Arabidopsis thaliana: one gene and its partners. Each later gene encodes a partner of the first gene's protein in a complex. Each region holds a gene or a part of one and is shown in the gene's direction. Other genes may lie near its edges.

What was found.
Region 2: TIF3H1 (region 1) and AT4G20980 share a complex: the UniProt entries of both Arabidopsis thaliana proteins name them as parts of the eukaryotic translation initiation factor 3 (eIF-3) complex.
Region 3: TIF3H1 (region 1) and EIF3K share a complex: the UniProt entries of both Arabidopsis thaliana proteins name them as parts of the eukaryotic translation initiation factor 3 (eIF-3) complex.

Annotation. Positions count from the first base shown.
Region 1 is NC_003070.9:3,604,822-3,615,582, reverse strand, and holds TIF3H1 (translation initiation factor 3 subunit H1), read left to right. Parts: upstream 1-4,966; 5' UTR 4,967-5,283; coding exon 5,284-5,293; exon of another isoform or gene 5,294-5,409; coding exon 5,410-5,489; intron 5,490-5,655; coding exon 5,656-5,772; intron 5,773-5,871; coding exon 5,872-5,975; intron 5,976-6,061; coding exon 6,062-6,128; intron 6,129-6,401; coding exon 6,402-6,535; intron 6,536-6,620; coding exon 6,621-6,669; intron 6,670-6,805; coding exon 6,806-6,877; intron 6,878-6,967; coding exon 6,968-7,069; intron 7,070-7,154; coding exon 7,155-7,222; intron 7,223-7,407; coding exon 7,408-7,560; intron 7,561-7,640; coding exon 7,641-7,698; 3' UTR 7,699-7,952; downstream 7,953-10,761. Other genes in the region: AT1G10865 (cytochrome C oxidase assembly factor), read left to right, coding at 275-343, 442-546, 753-794; AT1G10850 (Leucine-rich repeat protein kinase family protein), read right to left, coding at 1,240-1,901, 2,026-3,355; Z-ISO (15-cis-zeta-carotene isomerase), read left to right, coding at 8,134-8,544, 8,622-8,768, 8,873-9,082, 9,512-9,847. UniProt on the Arabidopsis thaliana protein: Component of the eukaryotic translation initiation factor 3 (eIF-3) complex, which is involved in protein synthesis of a specialized repertoire of mRNAs and, together with other initiation factors, stimulates binding of mRNA and methionyl-tRNAi to the 40S ribosome.
Region 2 is NC_003075.7:11,212,124-11,222,986, forward strand, and holds AT4G20980 (Eukaryotic translation initiation factor 3 subunit 7 (eIF-3)), read left to right. Parts: upstream 1-4,757; 5' UTR 4,758-4,873; coding exon 4,874-6,649; 3' UTR 6,650-6,664; exon of another isoform or gene 6,665-6,945; 3' UTR 6,946-7,055; exon of another isoform or gene 7,056-7,257; intron 7,258-7,444; 3' UTR 7,445-7,515; downstream 7,516-10,863. Other genes in the region: PyrD (Cytidine/deoxycytidylate deaminase family protein), read left to right, coding at 1-322, 419-717, 795-1,407; AT4G20970 (basic helix-loop-helix (bHLH) DNA-binding superfamily protein), read left to right, coding at 3,136-3,267, 3,367-3,732, 4,015-4,089; ACA4 (alpha carbonic anhydrase 4), read left to right, coding at 7,649-7,739, 7,837-8,051, 8,135-8,241, 8,326-8,428, 8,514-8,672, 8,793-8,846, 8,929-9,003; ACA6 (alpha carbonic anhydrase 6), read left to right, coding at 10,406-10,499, 10,602-10,816. UniProt on the Arabidopsis thaliana protein: mRNA cap-binding component of the eukaryotic translation initiation factor 3 (eIF-3) complex, which is involved in protein synthesis of a specialized repertoire of mRNAs and, together with other initiation factors, stimulates binding of mRNA and methionyl-tRNAi to the 40S ribosome.
Region 3 is NC_003075.7:16,037,494-16,042,652, reverse strand, and holds EIF3K (eukaryotic translation initiation factor 3K), read left to right. Parts: upstream 1-1,844; 5' UTR 1,845-2,035; coding exon 2,036-2,149; intron 2,150-2,239; coding exon 2,240-2,296; intron 2,297-2,389; coding exon 2,390-2,503; intron 2,504-2,733; coding exon 2,734-2,784; intron 2,785-2,865; coding exon 2,866-2,932; intron 2,933-3,126; coding exon 3,127-3,209; intron 3,210-3,392; coding exon 3,393-3,587; 3' UTR 3,588-4,002; downstream 4,003-5,159. Other genes in the region: CDC20.2 (Transducin family protein / WD-40 repeat family protein), read left to right, coding at 1-149, 252-521, 602-1,183, 1,277-1,420. UniProt on the Arabidopsis thaliana protein: Component of the eukaryotic translation initiation factor 3 (eIF-3) complex, which is involved in protein synthesis of a specialized repertoire of mRNAs and, together with other initiation factors, stimulates binding of mRNA and methionyl-tRNAi to the 40S ribosome.

The DNA of each region.
Region 1 (10,761 bases):
CACAACACTCCCTTTTGAGGCTCTGCGGTGAAGCTTTGTAGTACCTCGAAAACTAATTTGTTAAGAACATGCTCTGATTCATTGGTTGCCTTTTGGCGAGATTCCTGGACTATGCATTTGTTGATTGTTTACTGTAGATCCCATATCTTCTTGTATCTTCATAATAAATCCTTGACACACTGCAGTTTAGCATCACAATATCCTGAAAGCTCATTTCATTTGTTAGAAACATGCTCTCATGTATTGGTTGCCTTTTTGCATATGAACAGTTGAAATGGCGAAGTCTTGTAAGGGCCTTGCTGAAGAGCTTGTCAAATGTCTCAGTGAATCGATTTGTGTCAAGGTAATATAAAATGTCTGAAGATGAAGCTATTATAAGTGTATTCATTACCTGTTAACTAATTACCAGTTCACTTCATTTGTTTTCTGATTGTGTTATAGGGCGAGAAACGATCAATTAGGGACTGCACTGGTGAAAAAAGCCCATGTATACCGAGTGAGTGTGTTGGCCTAAGAGAAACCTACTTCAACTGTAAAAGAGGACAGGTATGTTTTGCTCTCACCACTTGAAAAGCCTCAATTTGTTCACTAAACCCATTGTGATAATGTAGCTTTGAAATCATCCATCATGTTTAAAAGATACGAACCATACCTGCCGTGGAATAAGATTAAGCATGCTTGCGAACACTTAAGAGTTACATTCACCTTACAGTCTCTTGGTCTCATTGGATGTCGAATTGTGTTTTCTCTAGGTAGACATGAGAGCCAGGATTCGAGGAAACAAAGGCTACTAACAGAAGGGCACCTGCATATCCGATATCACATTTTCATTTTGTTGTTTTTGCGTTCTTTTTATCAATCCTTTGATTTCTAATAGTTGGAGCACAATATGAAGGGACATGCAACTTAGTTACTTGCCATGTCAATGTCAAGTTAGGCTTGTTCCTATACTATACTTGATTTCTTTTCCTCCTTAAAGTTGTATTACATGTCAATGAAAAGATGCTATTGAATGTCGTGTTATTTAAAGAAAGAGTAAGAATGAAAAAAAAAAGATTCTTCTGTTCTTCAACTACTCAATGCCAGCATCTCAATTCAATAGATCTTATGCAAGTCCTACAAGGTCGATGAATCAAAATGGCGTTACAAAATAAAAAAGAAGCTTTACACTATGAACCCTACTTCAAGAATCACACGTGTCATTCTATGAAAGCAATGAAGAAGGCCCACCCAATTTCTCTAAATGCTCACTTGATCATCCCTTGGCAAGCTCTGAACGGTATCCGACCATCTCCCGGGCGAATGTTCGCTACTGTTAGACGAGAATGGTGCTTCAGCCCTTGCATCCCTCACCATCTTCAACACCTCTCTCATCACAGGCCGGTTATCGGGTTGAATGGTCACACAAACCGTTGCGATACTTAAAAGTGCCTGAAGTTTCTCCTCTGATGCTTCGTTGCCTGAAGAAGTCGGTTCCTCACCTGATTCAGTCTCTTCCTCTCTCACTGCACGCACCCATCTTGAGATATCTGACCCATATTCTTGAACAAGGTCCTGGAATGGTGTTCTACCTGTTAGAAGCTCGAGAAGAAGAACCCCAAAGCTATACACATCAGCGGGCTGTGTAGAGGCTTTCCGTGGGTCTCTGCACTCTGGAGCTTTGTAAAAGAGAGACACTGCGCTTGTTTCTTCAACTGAGTCAGGGTCATGGAGAGTGCTGAGGCCGTAATCCGTGAGGCAGGACTCAAAATCAGGACCTAACAAGACATTGGACGATTTCAAATTCCCATGAGTCAAGCCAGGATTCTGATGTATGTAGAGCAGAGCTGAGGCCAAGTCCTCAGCTATTTTCAGGCATGAAGTCCAGTGAAGAGGCTTCCCACTTCCAGAAGCCCTAGTTCCTACAGACAAACACACACATAAAACACAATGAAGCTGGCTAATGTATCCAAGTTTCGATTCAACCCATCAAATCTCTGCATTGCTATATAAAACAGGAACCTTGAAAGAAGCTAAGGTACATACCGTGAATAAGAGTAAAGAGACTGCCATTAGGGAAGTAATCGTAGACGAGCAAGCGTTCTTCCTTGGCTTGAAAATAGGCTCTGAGAGGCACCAGATTTGGGTGTTTGAGCTGTCCAAGGATCTCAACATGTCTCTTGAACTCCTCCATGCGAGGATACCTTGCGTTCTTGAGCCTCTTCACAGTGACAATGAACCCAGACTCCATCACAGCCTTGTACGTGCTCCCCAACGTTCCTCTTCCCAATGTCTCTGCCGAAGCTTTTAGCAGATCTTCCATGGTGTATCTCACTACCGTCTCGCCTGAATCACTGGTTCCAAGGAAAACCAGAGTTCCCACTGCACCTTCTTCGCCTCTTTCCCATGAGAATCCTCTGTCTTTCCTCTCAATGTCTCTCTCTGTCTCTGCAGTTGTTGCTCCTTCTGCTTCCGCTATTCCTTTACCTTTTCTATCTTCCCTCGGTGCCTGGTTCCGCCGCTTCCGTCGCCAGCAGACGATAAGCAACGTCAATAGCAAGATAAGGACTAGTACTCCGCCGGCAACGCTTCCGGCGATAATCCCGATCAGCTTCGCTTTGCTCTTCTTAGACTTAGGTATAGGCGTTGGTTTCGCAGACGGCGCAGGTGAGATTCCGCATGGACTTCCAATCTGATCGCCGCAAAGAGCGACGTTTCCGGTAAACGATGACTCATCAAACTGCTTCAAAGCTCGTGTCAGTGGAATTTGACCAGAGAGCTTATTGTTGGATACATTGAAGTATCTGAGACTTGTCTGGTTAAGAGGAGGAATCGAACCAGTGAAGAGATTGTCCTCAACATTGAGCGTGTAAAGACGAGAGAGACGAAGCAACGAGCTAGGGATTCGACCGGACAGTCTGTTTCCGGAGAGGAAAATAGTTTTCAATCGGTGAAGAGACGTGAGAGACTCCGGGAAGTCGCCGGAGAAGTTGTTATCGTTAAGATAAACCGATTTGAGGTTAACCAAACCGGAGAGGTTAGGGATTGAACCGGAGAGAGAGTTAGCTTTGAAACTAAGAACCCTAAGTTGATCCAACTGGTTCAAACTCTTCTCGTTAAGTGAGCCGGTGAGATTCAAGTACTCAAGAACAAGCTTGGAGACTCTTCCATTCATACATTCTCTAACACCTTGCCAGTTGCAGAGATCTGTTCCTCTCCAAGAAATCGAATTAGATGGATCGATTGAAGATTTCAAGCTTAGTAAAGCTTCGACGTCGCTAGATCTCGCCGGAGTAACCAAACAGAAGAAGACTGTAAATGCAAAGACTACGAACGACACCGTACTCGAAGACGAAGAAGAAGAAGAAGAAGCCATTGTCGATGAATGATGAATCAATCAAATCAGAAAGAGTGGCTCTTTTCCTCAGCTCATAAAAGAAACAGAAATGATTGATACAGTTCGAAATCGAGTTTCCATAAAAAGCATCCCATGAATCTCCTCAAAGCCATCACTTTCTATTATTAAGTCACTTTCCAGATCTGCCCCATTATGCTAAAGCATCTCGATCGAAGCAAAAAAGGGAAAGGTAAAAAATGAAGAAGAAGAAGAAGAAAGTGAGAGCTCTGCTCTACTCTGCTCTTTAATGGCGGAAAGAAATCTTCTGGTAGTGAGCACTAAGAAGAGAAGAAGAAGCATTAAAATTCCCCGGCATTTTCTCTCTCTCTCACTTCACTTTCTGAGTATCTTTTCTCGAAGTTCTTGGTCGAGGAAGATGTCATCACGTGAAGCCATGCCTGGAAAACTTTTTTTTTGTTCTCACTGTGACATCTTCAATGCATTCATGAATAATAGTAGTATTATAAAAAAAATTAATAATGGGTTTATGAAGGAGAGACGAAGGAGAAAGAGAAAAATAATTCACGTATATTTTTGTCGTTATTGTTATGGTTGCTATTACTTTGCCAAGATTCAGAGACAGATAGGTTTTGGGGCCAAGGTAGTTACTGCTGCTGAGAAAATTTATATAGAGATTTTATGGTGAAGTGTGGTATGGAGCAGAAGAAATATGGTGGGAATAATTAATTTTAGGGATGATTTATTTAAAGTAAGGAGAGACATTGTTTTTCAATTTTATTCAGTTGGTGTCTGGTTCCTCTTTGCACTCTCTACCAATTATTGAGCTGCTTTTTTTTCCTACCTCTTTTTCTTGTTGAATCTTCACATGGTTTTTATAATATTTTTAATCGTATTTTAATATGGACCTCATGTTATTTATACAATGAGGATATAGATTGTTGGATTTTTGTTTGAGAGGAAAGTTAAAGATGTGTTAACATTCATGGTTGGTATTCAATCTCTAAAACGAGGATGTTGAAGTGTTTATTAAATTAGGAATTTATTAGTTGCTTAGCTTAAGCGTGATGAAAATGTAATAAAGAAGAGGTGAGAATTGAGTTCACGTAAAGGCTGAGTTAATTATTAACCAGCGGTCCACCAGTCCAAACACCAACCTCGCAAAGAGACTGCAGTCATTTAATTTGGCATCAATATTATTGTTGACTTCTTTGACCTTCAATGAATCATCAAGGTTTTCGACTTTCGAGTAATAAACTATAGTACATTTAATACGTTTTATATATTTGGTTTTACGTTTTTTGATACCAGTGGTGATTCTCTAGTTTTTGCCGTTTATTTAGGACATTGTTGATTTTCTTACGGACTTATGAAATGACCATGTCTTATAGACTTTTTAAAGTTGGTTACTAAAGATTAGACTTTGAATTAGTCCTCTTTTTCGATTAAACCCTAATACCGGATGGAATTTGGAGGGAAAGTTTCTAAAAGTTTTGGATTCTAGTTGACTCCATGACTGTTTGTTTTTTCTTACTAAGTTTTGACTAGTTGGTTAGTGTAATGGGCCCATGCTATTAAATTAAATGTTCAATATTTTGAGGAATATTATGGTCCTGGCCTTTTACAAGAGAATAGCATTATAGGTCCATGGGCTGGGTCCATCCTTATTATAGGTCGGAAAACATTTAGGGATCATTCTATAAGAATCTCAAATTTTAGGGCTCTTTTGCAATTTTAACTGCGAAACGCTTTTTTTTTTTCCTCTCTACACCCAAATTGAAGGGAAAAAAAAATCTGCGGATCCTCGAGAAGCCCTATCAAACACATAAAGTTCTTTCTCTTACTCATCTCCGCCGCCGGCAGTAAAAATATCACATCGTTAGGGTTTCACGGCGGAGATTCAAGTTCTTTGACCTAGGAAGCTTTCACTATCACCGGAGACTATTTCAATGGCAACCAGTCAGTATAATCATCCTCTCTGTTCTTCACTAGGACATAGAATTAATATTTGCATCTGTTTATTGACGATTTCTGTATATGTCGTGCTAAGTTTCTTCCGTGGTTTATTTCTGCAGTGGCTAGGTCGTTTCTGCAGGCGATATCGAAGGATGAGGCGGTGGCTCCTCCGCTTAGAGTTGTTCAGATCGAAGGACTGGTAACGTTTCTTAGTGTTCCCTGATTTTACGGTTTTAAGTGTTTTTCCTCGTTTTCTGCTGACCGATGGTGTTTGATAAATAAAAACTCTCTAGGTGAAGCTAATTTGCCCATTATCATTTGGTAGGAAGTTGTGATGCTGAGAATTTTGTTTGCTATTGTGATAGGCTGTACTAAAGATAATCAAACACTGCAAGGAGTTTTCACCGACCCTTGTCACTGGACAGCTTCTTGGACTTGATGTTGGTAGCGTCCTCGAAGTTACCAATTGTTTTCCTTTCCCGGTATGTTGATGAATTTTACACGCATTGTGAGGATTTAAGAGCTTGTTCATGATTGATGTACATGTGATTTACTGGAATTTGTATCTTAAACGAGGACAGGTCAGGGATGATGATGAAGAAATTGAAGCTGATGGTGCTAATTATCAGCTTGAGATGATGAGATGTCTGAGGGAGGTTAATGTTGACAACAACACTGTTGGCTGGTAGGTTTTTTAATGACATCAGTCTGAGTTCACTTGTTAAATTTTTTCTTGTGAATGTATTTAGATCTGCCTAATTCTTTGTTCAGGTATCAATCTACAGTTCTTGGTTCGTATCAGACTGTGGAACTGATTGAGACCTTCATGAATTACCAGGTACTTTTTTTTTTGTTAAAGAATCCTGTCTACCATGTCATTATAACATTCTAGATTTGGTCTGTTCATATGTTATGCTCTTCATTCAGCTGGAAATTTATATGTATAGCATGGCTACTCTAGTGTATGATAGGTATATTGGCATGTGTAAAAGTTGAATGTAAATTGGATCATGAATATATTTTCTGAGACTTTTTTTGTCCGCAACTCTGTTACAATCCCTTGCAGAATCATGATATGAACTCTTAAGAAATGATTCTTCTGCATCTACAGGAGAATATCAAGAGGTGTGTGTGCATCATATATGATCCCTCTAAAGCTGATCTAGGCGTCTTAGCTTTGAAGGCTTTGAAGCTTTCAGATTCCTTTATGGAGTTGTACCGAGGTGGAAACTTTACTGGCGAGAAGTATGTATCTTGATCCATTGAAAATCTAGGTTTTATGAGCCACTTAGGATGATAGTTGTAACGTTTTAATCACTATCTTTTTCAGGTTGAGAGAGAAAAATTTCTCCTGGATGGATATTTTTGAGGAAATACCTGTAAGTCTCTAGCTTTCTTCTATATTGAATTCTTACCAGCTAATCTTTTCAAGTCACTAGGTTGGAATTGTTACCTAATTATATTTTCCTCTGACAAAAAAAGTGGTTTAAATGTTTGTTACTTTTCCTTTGACAGATCAAGGTTTCAAATTCTGCCCTTGTCAGTGCCTTTATGACCGAACTGGAGACTGATACACCTGTCTCACAGGTACAATACTACTATCTGGATAGTGATCCTTGCTTGCTGTCAGCATTGCAGATTTTGACTCTTGATACTTCTGTATTTTCGCCTTTCTAGGGCGATTATGATCGTCTACACTCATCAACCACTCCTTTCCTTGAGAACAATATGGAGTTTTTGATTAAATGCATGGATGATTTATCTATGGAACAGCAAAAGGTGTGGTTTCTTCTGCACTCTTGTTCAATTCTCATCATCAGAAGTCCGAACTATCTTAACGCAAAATCTTAATTTATTTCTCCAGTTCCAGTATTACTACCGGAACCTGTCTCGTCAGCAAGCACAACAGCAAGCCTGGCTCCAGAAGAGAAGGTAGGTTTATATTTTCTGCAGAACCTTTTTGTTCTAGTTCAGGTTTGATTAGTTTCACTACCTCGTTATCTTGGAAGGTGATACAACTTTACTTACGAGAGTTGTGAATGCCTTGTAACATTTGTCTTCAGCTTTTCCTTGTCCTTTTGATCTTCCAACTAATGAAAGAGGTGTTTGGTTTATAGAACGGAGAACATGGCTCGTAAATCAGCTGGAGAGGAGCCTTTACCAGAAGAGGATCCTTCAAACCCAATCTTTAAGGCGATCCCTGAACCATCTAGGCTAGAGAGTTTCCTCATCACAAACCAAGTCTCAAACTTCTGTGGCCAAATCAATGGGTATGTTCCTCTTTAGTATTGTTTCACCATTTTTGGAGCTTTGAAAGATACTTAAAATGAGTCGACCTGTTGTTATGCAGAGTGGCTGGCCAGAACTTCAGCAGGCTTTACCTGACCAAAGCATTGCACGACAACTGATTGCAAAGACTACCCAAGTTTTTGTTTTTTGAGTCAGAAAGTGAAAGACTTGGTGGTAGAATGGATCCTATATTTGTTTTTCGTGGATGTTTTTGTTTTTATTTTTGTTGTTGTGAAGTAATTTAATTTACAAGCTTTTCAAAAAAAATCTTTATTCTTATGCATAATGAAAAATTATTGAAGTTTTGAAAGATTTATCTTGTATTGGACCTCTGATTGCCTTACAACAAATTATACATAGTTATCAAAATCCTAATCAAAAGAGTAAAAAATCTAATTTATAGAGATTTTATTATAGTTGTAGTGTTAGTTCCATCGCTAAATCCCTTGAACGACAACGTTTATTATTTCTTCTTCGGACGATTGTTTGAAGAAATTTAAAAACGACATCTTTTTATTACTTCCTCTTCGAAAGATTGTTTACCAACAAGAACAATGGCGGTTTATCATCTCCTTCTCTCGAGCCCACCTTCGCTTCTTCTTCTCCCTCCTTCTCCTCGCCGCCCTAACCTCACCTTAATCCGCCGTATCCCAGCTCATCCTCGCCTCGGAAACTCGACCAGCTTGCTTTCTTCTTCGTCACCGGTAATTCGGAAAATTCTGGTTCGTAGCACTCTCCGGGAAGACCAACCCATCGCCTCTGACTCCGAGAGTAGTCCTACTCTACTGATCGGTGAAGATTCTGCTGCTTTTGAATTAGGGAAACAGAAGCTTGTTTCCTGGGTTTATTTCGGTGTTGTCCTTGGAGTTGTTCTCTTTATCCTCAATGTTGTTTGGATCGATAATTCCACCGGTTTCGGAAAATCATTCATCGACGCCGTCTCTAACATCTCCGGCTCACCGGAGGTATAGATCAATTTAACAGTAACTGAACCAGTTTCAATTTCAGTTATTTGATTGTTAAAAACCACTTGTTTTTGCAGGTTGCTATGTTAATGCTTATCCTTATATTTGCAATTGTACATAGTGGTTTAGCTAGTCTAAGGGATATAGGAGAGAAACTTATAGGTGAACGAGCATTTCGTGTTTTGTTTGCTGGAATCTCTCTTCCTTTAGCTATGAGCACCATTGTGAGTACTCTCTCTTCTAACTCTGCAATTTTTCTCCTGATCAATGGTATAAATACCTGTTTGATGTCTCTTATGGTCTATGCAATGCCTTGTTCTTCTTTCAGGTTTACTTTATAAACCATAGATATGATGGGTCACAGTTATGGCAGCTTCAGGGTGTTCCTGGAGTCCATGAAGCTATTTGGGTCGCTAATTTTGTATCCTTCTTCTTTCTCTATCCTTCAACCTTCAATCTTCTGGAGGTAGCAGCTGTTGACAAACCGAAGATGCATCTCTGGGAGACCGGCATCATGAGAATCACTCGACATCCTCAGGTTTTGAACATTTCCCTAATGTGCCTAAACATGAAGACAATTTCCTTCATTTTTGTGTTTCAAAAATACAGAAAGATTGGATTTTTATGAGCCAAGGTTTATTAGTGGCTGTGTTAATGAGACCCCCAATCATTGAATCAATTATGGGCAGGTATTGGCCATTGACTTAAATACACCCATTACATCAGCACAATCAAATCTCCTCATCCTTCTATGTTTATTACATCAATGCTTGATTACTTTACTTGATATTGCTTTTGATCTTAAAATTCTTATCCAATTGCTTCATCATGTGTTTGGAAAAACTTGATAATATATAGAAAGATAGGCATTTTAGCTTCAGTTTTGGTTTGTTCTATTCTCTCTTCATTATACTGGCTTTGTTAATGAGACTTGATTGTTGCACCTCTCTCCTCTGATCTTCTCCAGATGGTTGGACAAATCGTTTGGTGTTTAGCACATACTCTCTGGATCGGAAACACAGTAGCTGCATCAGCTTCTCTCGGTTTGATTGCACACCATTTGTTTGGGGCGTGGAATGGAGACAGGAGATTGGCAAAAAGATATGGAGAGGATTTTGAAAGCATCAAGAAGAGAACAAGTGTGATTCCATTTGCTGCCATTTTCGAAGGACGGCAAGTTTTACCTGAGGATTACTACAAAGAATTTGTCAGGTTGCCATATCTTGCAATCACTGCGTTAACGGTTGGGGCATATTTTGCTCACCCGCTAATGCAAGGTGCAAGCTTTAGGCTTCATTGGTAAATTATATGTCATGCTTTAGGCTTCATTGGTAAATTATATGTCATTTATGTTTGTTTGTTTCCTGCAGTGTTCATAAAGACTTGTTAAGGAACAAATGTATACAAAAAGCCATATTGTTTGTGATACTTGACTCTTCTTCATTTCTCGATTATTTTGGCTCAACACTCTGTAACCACTATGTGTGAGTTCGATCCAACAAGTGGGTTTAGATTAGTATTAACTAGGAATGTTTAATAGTACTGCTAAATGAATATTTAGGTAAAACTATTTTGTATATAAATTCCCACTCAGATGTCATGGGTCACTCTGACGCCTACCACTATACTAATAGAAGTAAATTTTTCTTTTTTCGATGTTTAGTTACAATCGGAAAATGAATCTAAATTTTAACTAATATTAATAATATGCCAAGATCTCCATCCAAATCTAGATTGATATCTACATATTGATGCCTTGATATCTCTAAACTCTAAAGATAAACTTAAAGGCAAGTGATTAATTGTTAACTAAAATTAAAAATTAACAATACAATTTTAATTCGCTAGTTATAAAAATTTTATTACCAAGAAGAATATGGAAAAAAAGGAATTGGAGGCAAAAAAAAAAAAAAAAAAAAAAAAAGAGGCCAAAAGAAAAGAAAGCAAAGGAGTATGAATACAACAAAGAGGTTCTGCAAGAAACAAACAACACAGCCAATTACTACTAAACAAACACACTCTCTCTTTCATTCTTTCTCTCTCTCTCTCTCTCGATTTTCTCCCATTGGAGTTCGCAATTAGCTGCCACTCTCTGATCGATCTTCTTCTCACATCACATCCTTTATAATCTTCAGTTCTACTGCTCGGAGGTGTTTGCTTGCGTTCTCTCTTGTCGGTCACATCCCTAATTACCATCACTGCCCCTGATTAAAGTTT
Region 2 (10,863 bases), on another chromosome or scaffold:
AACCTCAATTCCACTCTTACCATCACTCTCCTCAAATCCTCGCCGCATTTTCAACCTCACTTCACTTCAGAGCCCAAATCACTGTTTCTTCAAAAGATTACATAAATCTCAGACTGGTTTCAGCAATCCAGTTTTGGCTGCCATGAGAAGAGAAGAAGATGTTGAAGTCGATGATTCGTTTTATATGAGAAAGTGTGTGGAGCTAGCAAAAAGAGCAATTGGGTGTACAAGTCCTAATCCTATGGTAGGTTGTGTCATTGTCAAAGATGGTGACATTGTTGGCCAAGGGTTTCATCCCAAAGCTGGTCAGCCTCATGCTGAGGTAACAAAAATTCAATCTTTCTTTGTTGGGTTACTGAAAATGAGCAAACTTTAAGTCTTGCTTGTGGAATTGTTGTTGTTGGCATTGGTATGGTAGGTGTTTGCTCTTAGAGATGCTGGAGAGTTAGCTGAGAATGCTACTGCTTATGTTAGTTTGGAACCATGTAATCATTACGGAAGAACACCGCCGTGTACAGAAGCATTGATTAAGGCTAAGGTGAGAAGAGTTGTTATTGGGATGGTTGATCCGAATCCAATTGTTTTTTCTTCGGGTATTAGTCGGTTGAAAGATGCTGGAATCGATGTTACTGTGAGTGTTGAAGAAGAGTTATGCAAGAAGATGAATGAGGGATTCATCCATCGAATGTTAACAGGGAAGCCTTTTCTCGCCCTCAGGTAAAGTTCATTGCTTCTCTTGAGTGGAGACAAATCCGAGTCAATAGATTGTTTTTAAGTTTTGAAAATCTTTGCAGGTATTCTATGTCTGTCAATGGTTGTTTGCTAGACAAGATTGGGCAAGGGGCTTCGGATAGTGGTGGATACTACTCGAAGCTATTGCAGGAATATGATGCGATAATACTTTCTTCCTCGTTATCGGATGAACTCTCGAGCATTTCTTCACAAGAAGCTATTAATGTTTCGATCCAACCTATTCAGATCATAGTAGCTAGCAATGCACAACAGTCTCATATCCTTGCTTCTTCCCACACTGTGGAAGAATCGGGTCCAAAAGTTGTAGTTTTCACCGCAAAGGAATCGGTTGCAGAATCCGGAATCAGTAGTAGCGGGGTCGAAACCGTAGTATTGGAAAAGATAAACTTGGATTCCATTTTGGATTATTGTTACAACCGTGGACTATGCAGTGTCTTGTTAGATTTGAGGGGGAACGTCAAAGACCTTGAAGTTCTTCTGAGAGATGGATTTGAGCAGAAACTATTGCAGAAAGTAATTATTGAGGTCTTGCCGGAATGGAGCACAAAAGATGAGAGACAGATCGCGTCGATGAAGTGGTTAGAATCAAAGCATGTGAAAGATTTGCAGTCTAAGCAATTAGGTGGAAGCGTTTTGCTAGAGGGCTATTTTTGATGTTTTCATGTATGAATGAATACAAGTCATGATATTTACCTTTTTTAAAGCATAGTATTATTAAGGTTTTACAGATCCTATTATTAATAGATTGATAACAGATTTTTGAGAAAATGTTGTATTTTCAAAAGAAAATATTTTCACATGTTGAGAATCTGATTCGACCTTCTATGGCCTACACATGATGGGTATCCTAAGATGAGATGTTTTTTCTTAATTGGAGTTCATAAACCAAAACCCATAAAAAAAATTAAGGATGTGTAATAGAATGTGAAGTACATTCAATGAGAACTGATTGTTGATGTCGATTGCGTTACAAATTTGACAATTCTTTTTGGATTTTGGTGGAAATGTGAACTAACTGACAACAAACATCAACCATGTTGGATTTGTTTTTGTCAAAACCGATATATCTAGAGATATTCGAAAGAAAGAACGAAATAAACACTATACAATAGTCAATTTTAAATCACTTTATGATTTAACAATCCTAAGTTCCTAACTTCAAATTTAAGATTTACAATAGCATGAATTTTAGTCTTTCTTATTGTTTCATAGCATTATTGTATTAAAAAATTACTCTACAGTTACACCATCTCTCTTTATAATGGTTGTTTCAATTGAGTTAATCATTTACTATTAATCTGAAAATTTGTAGTATGAATGTTATTGTTGGTACACAAATTGGTGATGGAACAAAAGATTAAGAGGATATCTTTTATGTCGACAATGGTCGAGTGGTTCAACAAAATCCACGCAATCGCCTGAGCGAAAAAGTTGACCATACTCAGCCCCACCACTCTCCACTTCATAACCTTTTTCTTTTATCCTTCTTCCTTTTGCATTTATACAAGTATTTTCCAATGACGGAATGCAGAAAGAAAAAAATTTGTTAAGCAAATGTCATAAAATATAAAAATATCTATAGCAAGTGACTGTAACTACGATTAACTCAACCGATTGGAGAATTGAGTAACTTATATCGAACTCAAGTTCGAACATACGCTATATATGAGAGTCAAAATTATTGATCAAAATATGCAATGTAATGGTCCAAAATTCAAAATATTACCAAAAAGAAATTCTATAAGTTAATGTTGGAATTATGATAATAAAAAAATACTAATTGATAGATATGAAACAATTTAAGACGATCCATTTGAGACCCGGGAAATAGATTAGTTTATCAAGTATTAATTTATAAAGATTTTACTTTGGACTATTTGTTCAAAAAACTACGTGATGATGAGTTTTCTATGCAAAATCAATTACCGATATGTGGATGATTCTTGTCTTTTGTAGTAATGTTGGTTATCTTTCACTCTTAATGAGAGGTTTAATATCATGTGAGAGTTAACGAGCTTCTTATTTGAGTCAATTGTAGATAAATAGCTTAACATATGCCCTTATAAACTAGCGTTGATTCTCAATCCAATTTGAAACTATTAACAGAACCATTAAAAACTATATATGAACACATAAAATATATAATTGACCATAACGACGAGTCAAGATATATATTTAAAGAACTTACTTTTTTCCACTTTGTTTTGCTTTTTTTTTTTTTAGTCTTTGGTACATATATATTACAAACCCTTTTCCAGTAAATAGTTAGCACAAACTAATTATCAGATGTCACTTAAACCAACCTCCTTCTTTATATAAGCTTGGTTAACATTGAGTTTGTTATCATGGTCTATGTGAAACAATTCAGGAATAAAAAAAGAAATGGAGCCGAGCCATTCAAACACAGGTCAATCAAGATCTGTAGATCGCAAAACGGTTGAGAAAAATAGAAGGATGCAAATGAAGTCTCTCTACTCAGAACTCATCTCTCTTCTTCCTCATCATTCTTCTACGGTTTCTTCCTCTTGGCCCTCTTATATGCTTATATAATCTAAGATTCCATGTATGGGTGATGATCTTAATATTCTAAACTCTTTTATTATTTCATGTTAGGAGCCTTTAACACTACCTGATCAGCTAGATGAAGCTGCAAACTACATCAAGAAGCTACAAGTGAACGTGGAGAAAAAGAGAGAAAGGAAAAGGAACCTCGTTGCGACTACAACTTTGGAGAAACTGAATTCCGTCGGATCTTCATCGGTTTCGTCGAGCGTCGATGTCTCCGTGCCAAGAAAGCTGCCAAAAATCGAGATTCAAGAAACTGGTTCCATTTTTCACATCTTTCTTGTGACAAGCTTGGAACACAAGTTTATGTTTTGTGAGATCATTCGTGTTCTCACCGAGGAATTAGGAGCTGAGATCACTCATGCTGGATACTCCATTGTTGATGATGCTGTCTTCCACACCCTTCACTGCAAGGTATAATTCGGAAAGTAAAACATTTTTTGCAATGGAATTTAAGAATCAAACTTTGCTACTACTACTATGTTAAAACTAGGTCTAATCCAGCTTGTATACACATTGGGAATGAGTTCAAAGTTAGGGAATGATATTTATACTTGTTGTTTTTATATTTAATAAAACTTGCACTCAAAAACGCTAAGAAGCTGCATGTTCCCATCTGATTGTTAAGTTTCTACTAGCTGATTCCTATTAATATCCATATGTTAGTAAACTAAATTTAATTTATATTTTATATAGGTGGAAGAACACGATTATGGAGCTAGGAGTCAAATTCCTGAAAGACTGGAGAAGATTGTGAACAGTGTTCACTAATATTGATTCCTTGTTCCTTTATTAAAAAAAAAAGTTCTATGTTTTTGTTCCTTTTCTTGAATTATTTTTGGTGTTAGCTAGATTCCTTTTCTTGAATTGTATCATGTGCTGTGAGAGTGATGTTTCATTTGTAAGCATAATATATACTTTTCTCTACTTAAAGCTGTGAAATATATTTTGTTTTTTGGTATCAACAAAGCTGTGAAATATATGAAACTTAGGATGATGATTTTCAAGAACGAAACCAAAAAAAAAAGTTTCTTAGAATTAATACATGAACGAGCGAAATAACTTCACCTTTTTTCAATGTGTTATACTTGCCCAAGCATTTGTAATCTAGTGATAGGAGAAACTTTGGTGATAGGTGAAACTCTCAGATCCGAGTTTGAATATCCCGTGGTATTAGTTAGAAAACATTTAAATTCGGGACAGATAGTGTTGTGGTCCTTCGGGAAAAGTTTACTTCGGAGCACTTTGGTGCGTTTCTATCGAAGCTGACCAGATCAGCAAATAGAGTTTATCAAAAAAAAATGTGTTATACTATTTCAAATTGATGAATTTGAATTCTAAATTTTTATTTTATTTTATTTTTTTCTCAAAGTCAGAAATGAAAAACATGATTTAAGACTTCAAGTGTTATATATGGGTTTTGAAGAATACTAAAGCCCATGAGCCCAAACATTAACAAAAATGTTTTTTTCTTGTACCTTCTCTCTTCAACGTAGACTAAAGAATTAGGGTTTCCGCTTTCCACACACACAGCTGCAACACTATCTTCTCAGAAATGGTAACCGAAGCTTTCGAATTCGTCGCCGTTCCTTTCAATTCCGATGGCTGGGGACCTCCAGACGCTTCCGACGTTTCCTCCTCCGCCTCTCCCACCAGCGTCGCCGCCGCTAATCTTCTCCCGAACGTTCCTTTCGCTTCCTTCTCCCGTTCCGATAAGCTCGGCCGTGTAGCTGATTGGACTCGCAATCTCTCTAATCCATCCGCTCGTCCTAACACCGGATCCAAATCAGATCCGTCTGCAGTTTTCGATTTCTCCGCTTTCGCAATCGACGAAGGCTTCGGTCTCGCTTCCTCCGGTGGTAATCCCGACGAAGACGCAGCTTTCCGTCTCGTCGACGGTAAACCTCCGCCGCGTCCTAAATTCGGACCTAAATGGCGTTTCAATCCTCACCACAATCGGAATCAGCTTCCTCAACGGCGAGATGAAGAAGTTGAAGCTAAGAAGCGTGATGCTGAGAAGGAACGAGCTCGTCGTGATCGTCTCTACAATAACAACCGTAACAACATCCATCACCAACGCCGTGAAGCTGCCGCTTTCAAATCATCCGTTGATATTCAGCCGGAGTGGAACATGCTTGAGCAGATCCCTTTCTCAACATTCTCGAAGCTCTCGTACACAGTTCAAGAACCAGAAGATCTTCTTCTCTGTGGTGGCCTTGAGTACTACAACCGCCTTTTCGATCGCATAACGCCGAAAAACGAACGCAGACTCGAGCGTTTCAAGAACAGGAACTTCTTCAAAGTCACTACTAGTGATGATCCTGTGATTAGGCGTTTAGCTAAGGAAGACAAAGCTACTGTTTTCGCTACTGATGCTATATTAGCTGCTCTTATGTGTGCTCCTAGATCTGTTTACTCTTGGGATATTGTTATTCAACGTGTTGGTAACAAACTGTTCTTTGACAAGAGAGATGGATCACAGCTTGATTTGTTGTCTGTGCATGAGACATCTCAAGAGCCATTGCCTGAGTCTAAAGATGATATCAATTCTGCTCATTCTCTAGGTGTGGAAGCTGCTTACATCAATCAGAACTTTTCGCAGCAGGTTTTGGTTAGAGATGGAAAGAAGGAAACTTTTGATGAAGCCAATCCATTTGCTAATGAAGGTGAAGAGATTGCTTCTGTTGCTTATAGGTATAGAAGGTGGAAGCTTGATGATAATATGCATCTTGTTGCGAGGTGTGAGTTACAGAGTGTTGCTGATCTCAACAACCAAAGGTCGTTTCTTACTTTGAATGCTCTTAACGAGTTTGATCCTAAGTACTCTGGTGTTGATTGGAGACAGAAGCTTGAAACTCAGAGAGGTGCGGTTTTAGCTACAGAATTGAAGAACAATGGAAATAAGTTGGCTAAATGGACTGCACAAGCTTTATTGGCTAATGCTGATATGATGAAGATTGGTTTTGTCTCTAGGGTTCATCCTCGTGATCATTTCAACCATGTTATATTATCTGTTTTGGGGTATAAGCCGAAGGATTTCGCTGGACAGATTAATCTCAACACTTCTAACATGTGGGGGATTGTGAAATCCATAGTTGATCTGTGTATGAAACTAAGCGAAGGGAAGTATGTTCTTGTGAAGGATCCATCGAAGCCTCAAGTGAGGATTTATGAGGTTCCACCTGATGCTTTCGAGAATGATTACGTTGAGGAACCGTTGCCTGAAGATGAACAGGTTCAGCCAACTGAGGAAAACACAGAGGGAGCAGAAGCAAGTGTAGCTGCAACTAAAGAAACCGAGGAGAAGAAAGCTGATGATGCTCAAGCTTGATGGTTATAAAGTCAGGTAGTTCATACAAACAACTCTCAAATTCAAAAGGCGGTTACCATAATATGCTTGTTGGATTTGATTGAACACTTGTTTAGGATCGTGAATTTATACTTAGAACCCAAGAAAATGCAGAAAGTTGGTTCTTACTTCTTAGCCATAGAATCTTGTTCTTATTCATCTGAATTTCATTCTTATAGTTTAGAAACTGGTGACTTAGATTAATTGATGATCTTTATTATAAGTATAAACGTCGTATGAAGCATCGTCATTCACAATTTGGATACTATATTCTTCAGGTCCAAAGTCTACACCTTTCGTTTCTGGGTTCTTTTGAGAGTTGAAGCTTCAATCAAACAACAACAATGGAGGTTCCTTTTTTAATTATCTTGTCCTTTTTCAAATTTTTGTGGTACTGCTGTAATTTTAAGTCAGAAATGAGATTGTAGAACACTATCTTCGTGACATCTTTTGGAAAATCATTACGGATTGTTTACAGAACAGAAATCTTTTTACTATGACTCTTATAGCCACCAAATTTTCTTGAATCATTTTGCATTAGTTTTATAAAATTTGGTATTTTATGGTTCCAACTTTTGTTTGTTTCGGTCGTTTGGCGTATTCTCTTATGAGCTTGATCCTATTGTCCTGGTCGGTTTTTATCTCTGTTAAACTGACATAGATCCTATTGTCCTGGTCGGTTTTAATCTCTGTTAAACCGACATACTTCACATATATTTATTATTATAAACCCCAAATTAGAAAACTCAACCAAAATGGTTTTTACTAAGCATTCAGTTTTTTTTTTTTTTTTTTCATGTTTCCAATAGTAACATCAGATTATTAACTAATAATCGTAGCAACGGCAAAAACCATATCAGAACAGCAGAACAAACATCCCCCAAAAGCCTCCTCTTAAATAGGTTGTCTCTAAACCCTTCAATCTCCAAAACATAATAACATACTCCATTAAGCAAAATCTAATCTCGAAAGAAGAGAAACATGGATACCAACGCAAAAACAATTTTCTTCATGGCTATGTGTTTCATCTATCTATCTTTCCCTAATATTTCACACGCTCATTCTGAAGTCGGTATGATTACTACATCTCTATTGCATTCTAGTAAAATTAATCTTTTGTATCAAAATTCAGATTTAATGATTTGTTATTAACTTTAATCTGAAAACAGACGACGAAACTCCATTTACTTACGAACAAAAAACGGAAAAGGGACCAGAGGGATGGGGCAAAATAAATCCGCACTGGAAAGTTTGTAACACCGGAAGATATCAATCCCCGATCGATCTTACTAACGAAAGAGTCAGTCTTATTCATGATCAAGCATGGACAAGACAATATAAACCAGCTCCGGCTGTAATTACAAACAGAGGCCATGACATTATGGTACGTAAAACTTTATTATAGAATTCAGTTATTCTCACTTAACTATATTATTATTACAACACTAATCATTTGAAATCTTAAAGGTATCATGGAAAGGAGATGCTGGGAAGATGACAATACGGAAAACGGATTTTAATTTGGTGCAATGCCATTGGCATTCACCTTCTGAGCATACCGTTAACGGAACTAGGTTTGTTGTTTTCATTTTTAATGAGCATTTTCAACTATAGACCCATATTAAGTGGTATTTACACGATATTTGGCATTATTACAGGTACGACCTAGAGCTTCACATGGTTCACACGAGTGCACGAGGCAGAACTGCGGTTATCGGAGTTCTTTACAAATTAGGCGAACCTAATGAATTCCTCACCAAGGTATCATATTTAGATTATTGTTAAACATTGTATTTATAGAGTTTGTTATTGATTTGTTATTTTCAAATTTATAAAAAAAATGCAGCTACTAAATGGAATAAAAGCAGTGGGAAATAAAGAGATAAATCTAGGGATGATTGATCCACGAGAGATTAGGTTTCAAACAAGAAAATTCTATAGATACATTGGCTCTCTCACTGTTCCTCCTTGCACTGAAGGCGTCATTTGGACTGTCGTCAAAAGGGTATTTATATTTTTGTTTCGTTTTTATAGTAATTTTCTTCTTTATGCATTACATATTCATTTTTTTCAATATTCAAATTGCAAAATACATCAGTAATTTTTTTTACGTCGGTATATGTAGGTGAACACAATATCAATGGAGCAAATTACAGCTCTTAGGCAAGCCGTTGACGATGTAAGTAGTCGAAATTTGCTAATGTAGTTTCATTAGCTAATATTGATTTTATTACTAATTTAGTTAGTTGACTGATCAATAGGGATTTGAGACAAATTCAAGACCGGTTCAAGACTCAAAGGGAAGATCAGTTTGGTTCTATGATCCAAATGTTTGATATATTTACTTCTATTATTTTGTAATTTATACCCTTTTAACAAAATTATCATTTTGTAATATTTGAGATTTTTTTCAAACTTTAATAAAGAAAACAATTGATGAGTATTTTTTTTTAATATACCATTAGTATTCCACTATAATAATCATCATCGGAAAAAAAAAAACACGCCTGATTACATCAACGTTGCTAAAACAGTATGTCCTATAAAAGCTAGGCAAGCAGTGTTAGCTACTAAATCCAACTCTAATCAAGCAGTATAAAAACTTGAAACAACAAATAAACATAAATATGTATGGTCAAAACAAAAAAAAGTGAGAAGGAGTCATATGTTCCTTCAAAACCTTTTCATTTCCTGATGTATTCAATACAATTAATGTATTCCATCAAGAGGATTAATACATTCGATTAATATCACTTTCTTTCACAAATGTTTTTTTTTTTTGACAATTATATCATCAAGCCAATCCATATCGAAGAATCTATACTAGTCCCTAATACGATAACCACGTGACAAAAATGTTTACACAAAAGAAGCTTTGGTAGCAATTTGTCTTGGTTTTACTCATCTCTCATTCGATACGGTAGAAAACAAAGTCGATCCATAATGAACAATAATAGAGTATCAAAAACAAGGAAGATTATACAGTCGAATGAAGGTGAAACCCCTGAAATAAGCAATCAGAATCGCAATATGAACCAAAGAAGCAAGAGAATTGCCGAACGTAAAACCATATAGAGGAAGAGGCCAACTTAAAAGAGCCTATATTTTACATTTTGTTGTTTAGGATTTCAGTAACTTTATGTTTTTTTCGTCACTTATGTATCAAGTTTCTTGTTATTATTTTTCTATGAAAATGAAAGAAATTCAGTCTATGGAATGGAAGCATGAAAATTAGACATTACATATGTATAAAAAAAAAAACAACAATGTATAGATTTAACGTATCTCTTATTCTCTTACACAAGAGATTTAAAATAATATCTCTTTGTTTGACTTTAATGTAATTTTTAGTAAATCCAAACAAACAAACAAAAAAAATAAGTTCTGAATACTAGTCTTTTTTGGTTCGGGTCGTTCAACAGAATCTTTCTGAATGGGATTAACGGTTTTCTTCTCTGTTAAATTATCACATTTCACATTAGCTACTATAGAAGCCCAAATTAGAAGAAAAAATGAACTGTTTTAAATTTTGTCACTGAAAGTTTCTATTTTCCAATAAAATCAAATACTACAACAAATGATTAACTAATAACCGTAGCAACTGCTAAAGTCATAAAAGAACATTAAACAAACCTTCCCCTAAAGCCTCCTTTTAAATAGGTTAAATACCAAACCCCTTTCCATGTCCAAAACATACTCAAGAACATTAAGCAAAATCAAATCTGAAAGAAAAAAAAAATGGATGCCAACACAAAAACAATTTTATTTTTTGTAGTGTTCTTCATCGATTTATTTTCCCCTAATATTTTATTCGTTTATGCTCGTGAAATCGGTATGATCACTATACATCTCTGTTTTATTCTAATAAAATTCATCTTTTGGTATCAAAATTTATGTTTATGTGTATGATTTTGCTAATTTAATTTGAAAGCAGGCAACAAACCGCTATTTACATACAAACAAAAAACAGAGAAAGGACCAGCGGAATGGGGCAAATTAGACCCTCAATGGAAAGTTTGTAGCACCGGAAAAATTCAATCTCCGATTGATCTCACTGACGAAAGAGTCAGTCTTATTCATGATCAAGCCTTGAGTAAACATTACAAACCAGCTTCGGCTGTAATTCAAAGTAGAGGACATGACGTTATGGTAAAACTTTTATTTCATTTTAGTTATCTCACATGATTATATTAATC
Region 3 (5,159 bases), on another chromosome or scaffold:
AATTGGCTGAGACCATGAACTTGAACCACACAAGGATTCTCGCCTTCAGAAACAAACCTCAGGCTCCTGTCGAACTGCTTCCGAGCAATCACTCTGCTTCTCTTCACCAACAACCCAAATCTGTAAAGCCTCGTCGATACATTCCTCAGGTATGTACTGTATTTATTGCGTTTGATCCTTAAAGCTCACTTACTGGTTGCTGCATTAGAGTTGTATTGATCTGTTGCTAAACTTTCTGTTGTGATTAACAGACTTCTGAGAGAACCTTGGATGCACCTGACATTGTTGACGATTTCTACCTCAACTTGCTGGACTGGGGAAGTGCAAATGTCTTAGCCATAGCGTTGGACCACACTGTCTACTTGTGGGATGCTTCCACTGGTTCTACATCTGAGCTTGTGACCATTGATGAGGAGAAGGGACCTGTCACAAGTATCAACTGGGCTCCTGATGGTCGTCATGTTGCAGTTGGACTCAACAACTCTGAAGTCCAGCTGTGGGATTCTGCATCCAACCGTCAAGTAATTACTACTCTCTCTCTTTTATGTTGAGATATAATATCCGGTGTTCTTAGTCTGATGTGTTTCTCATATTTCTGCAGCTGAGAACATTAAAGGGTGGTCACCAGTCAAGAGTAGGATCACTGGCATGGAACAATCATATCCTTACTACTGGAGGAATGGATGGACTGATCATCAACAATGATGTGAGGATCAGATCACCCATTGTGGAAACTTACAGAGGTCACACTCAAGAAGTTTGTGGGCTCAAGTGGTCAGGATCTGGACAACAACTAGCAAGTGGTGGCAACGACAATGTGGTACACATCTGGGATCGTTCTGTCGCTTCCTCAAACTCAACCACACAATGGCTGCACAGGCTTGAGGAACATACATCTGCTGTGAAGGCTCTTGCGTGGTGCCCTTTCCAAGCGAATTTGCTTGCAACTGGTGGTGGTGGAGGAGACAGGACGATAAAGTTCTGGAATACTCACACTGGGGCTTGCTTGAATTCAGTAGACACTGGTTCCCAAGTTTGTTCGTTGTTATGGAGCAAGAATGAAAGAGAGTTGCTTAGCTCACATGGGTTTACACAGAATCAGCTTACACTTTGGAAGTACCCATCCATGGTGAAAATGGCTGAGCTCACTGGTCATACATCAAGAGTTCTATATATGGCCCAGGTAACGTCATCAATTTCTTTAAGTGGTGAAGTAGTTTGAGTCTTTGAGGTCATTCAGTCCTTAAACTTGTGTTGTTTGTTGTGTTTTCTACAGAGTCCAGATGGTTGTACTGTAGCTTCAGCAGCAGGAGACGAGACCCTGAGGTTTTGGAACGTTTTTGGAGTACCAGAGACTGCAAAAAAAGCTGCACCAAAAGCAGTTGCCGAGCCATTTTCTCATGTGAATCGTATTCGATGAAGCTGTTGAAGACTAAAACAACAAGGAAAACCCATTGATTGTTACAAAAAGAAACTATATATTTTTATTTTTATTTTATTACCAAAGGATTCATTCTTCGTGAATATAAAGATTACTTGTATATATTGAAATTTGAAAAAAGAAAGATTATGATTTTATACTCTTGAAGGATATCCACATTTATTATTCTACTGGAAACAAAGTGAGACTTCATGAAGTTGTGATCAGAGAACTCGTAGATGCTGACAGTTTTGTTTGAAAAGATGTTCACTGGTGAACTTTTGGACCATGGTTAATCGAATGCAAACTCTAGTGTAGTATCAATCTTTAAAAGCAAACTGAGAAAATATTTATTTACCGAGTCTGTGGCATCAAAATGGCTTAAAAATAGTTATTTACTAAACAACCCTTTGTAGTTTCTCTGTCATCCTAATTTAACCCAAACGTTTTGTCAATTGCACCATTAGCCCAAACGACAAAGCTTTGTCGTTTTGGCTTTTAAACCCTAGATTCGTCTTATCAGCGAATCTCCTCTGCACATTCCTCAGTGATCTATCAAAGTTCGAAGAGACCGACGCAAAAGGGACAGAAACGGAGAAGGAGAAAGAGGCAGAGATGGGAGTAGAGATCCAATCGCCGCAGGAACAGAGCTCTTACACCGTTGAGCAGCTCGTCGCCCTTAATCCTTTCAACCCTGAAATCCTGCCTGATCTCGAAAACTACGTTAACGTGCAGTTTCCTTTCCCTTTTCTCTCAAGCCGGATTCTGTTGTAGAAATCGTGTTCCATTGATTGTTGTTGGTTTCGTTATGATTTTCAGGTTACATCGCAAACGTATAGTCTGGAAGTAAACCTATGCTTGCTTCGGCTCTATCAGGTGCTCTAGTTGTTCTTAAGCTGGACCTTTTGATACCAAATTCAAGAGTTTTAGTGTCTCTTTTCGTTAATTGGTATTGTTGCTTTTATGCAGTTTGAGCCTGAGCGCATGAACACTCATATCGTGGCTCGAATCTTGGTCAAGGCTCTTATGGCTATGCCAACTCCAGACTTCAGCCTTTGCCTCTTCTTGATTCCCGAAAGAGTGGTATTCTTCTTTCCTCTTAACTTCACAATGTTTTGCTTTCTTACATATATAGCTTATCGTAGATACAGAAGAAACGATTGTTCAAATGTTTCTGACTCAAGTTATTATGCCATTCCAAGTTATTTCTGTCAGTTCAGTCTGTGTACTGAGCATTCATGATAAAGTGTGAGTTTCAATGTGTTGGATTCTTGAGGACTAATAAATGTACTTGTTTGGATTGTGTGTTTCAGCAAATGGAGGAGCAGTTCAAGTCACTAATTGTTCTATCACACTACCTTGAGGTACGCAAACATCAGTATTAGTTAGTTGAGAGTTGAAAAGGTGTGCATTGAGTATTTAAAGCACTTGTTTTTCTTTTGCAGACTGGGAGGTTCCAACAGTTCTGGGATGAAGCTGCCAAGAACCGTCACATTCTCGAGGCTGTTCCAGGTAACTAACTTCTGAATCATAAATAAATCGTCTACTAATAACAAATTTCTAGATGTAGATTTGTTACTTAAGGATATTTGTGTGTAGATGTCTTATGGTACGAACAAAGTCCTCAGTAGTGGTTTATGGTACTGTCTATTCATTTTATGATTGTGTCTAGTGTAGATGTCTTATATGCGAGAGATTAAATGCAGGTTTTGAGCAAGCTATTCAAGCATATGCAAGTCACCTTCTTAGCTTAAGCTACCAAAAGGTTCCAAGATCAGTGCTGGCTGAGGTATGATGTTTGGTTTATGATCTCGTTTTCACCACGGATAGCTTAAGTCATCAAAATAGTAGAACTTCGGATGTGAAATCTTTTACTTTCTCATATAATTTTCTGTTACGAATATTCCACATCATAGTTCTGGAAATCTAATTTGTTGACCTTTTATTTGTCAATAAATGACAATTTTCACAGGCTGTTAACATGGATGGTGCATCTCTAGACAAATTCATCGAGCAGCAAGTGACTAACAGTGGATGGATTGTTGAGAAAGAGGGTGGAAGTATTGTCTTACCACAAAATGAATTTAACCATCCGGAGCTCAAGAAAAATACAGGTGAGAATGTTCCCTTGGAACACATTGCCCGCATCTTCCCCATCCTTGGTTGAACCAATTCATGAGAACACTGCAAATTTTCCTTTTGTCTCTTGTTATCTTGTGATGTACACTTTTAAGACACCGTAATGTGAATTTTGGCAATGGCCTTCCTCTTTGCAATTTGACAGATTTTCTTAAAAATCTAGTAGACCGAGACTTTGCCATAATTAGTAGATCTTCATAGTCTGAGCTCTGCTTCTTACCTTTTTTTTTACCTTCCATGGATTCCAATACTGGTTTCTCAACAAGTGTTGGAATTGGCTCGTTTCTGATTGATTATCTTCTGTTTACTTCATTACATCTAAATAAACTAAACGAATCTTCAGACAACCCAAACAATTGTCTTCTTTAAAAAGCAAAGGAAAAAAAAAACTTTTGTTTAGGTTTCTTGGAATATAGAAACTGACACGGCAAATTTGTATTGAGAAAGTTTGAAATACAAAGAGACTGTCTATGTCTTGTCGTCCTCTCTACACAGATCACATACGAAGATTGACAGCCATCCATTTGGAAGCTCACATGTTGACACCAAATCATGTCACGTGCACAATTTTCTCTTTTCCCATGCATATTTTGACTGCTCCCTATGTGATAAATTTGACTGATTAAACTATAATTAGTTAGATCATCTCGTATCTAAGATGATTGCTTAAAACAATACTATTATTCTACTAACAACTAGGTTATTCCCAAGATCATAACTTTTGATTTTGATGTAACTAGTTTTGTAATTTTGTACATATATGAGACTTTTTTGAATTGCTTAACAGAATAAATAATTGAATTTTATGAATATAATATATAAATTTTCAATTTGATCGACAACAATGAACGGTGTTTTATTTATAATTGTTTTTTTGACAATCATGAACCTAATGATTTGTTTTTTCTATTTTATTTAGTCGACATAATGAAGACTAATGAAGATACAATATGTGATTGAAGTGAACAAGTTAGATTTAATTAAGATACGTGGAGGATATAAAGAAGGGTGATAAATACGTGAATAAAAAGTGAAATAAACAAAGGCAAACGATCAGACAGACAAGTCGTGAACATAAAAACGGGAGAGACAGGAAAAACAAAAGAAAGCCAGACGAGCACCAAAAAAGAAACTGCAAATCTTCGTTTATGTAAATCTTCTTACCGTCTCTCTCTTGTATTTCTTCAATTTCAAAGGTGGCTTTTTTTTCTTTCTTTGTTGGGTATTAATCTGAGAGAAATTGAGGAAAACTGTTTTCCCCTTTCTATGTTCTCAGCTTGGCACTTTTCTTTGAGATTATGGTTAATTGGTTCCCTTTTGGAAATTGATTTCAAATCTTATCCAGAAGAAATTTGGTGCCTTCTGTTTTTAAACAAATTTTCTAGAGTTTCCGTGTTTAATTTTTGTTTCTTATTTTGTTTTCTATTAAAAAATTCGTTTCTTGCTCGTGTTAGTTTTCGCATTTGGAGTTTCCTGACAGCGAGAGTTGCTCGTTTTCTGGGGTCACAACAGAAGAATTCGAGCTTGGAAGATTGAAATTTGAGATCTTTTGATCTTGAATCAAGCATAAATTCTGGATTTTGAAGTTTGAGAGTGACCC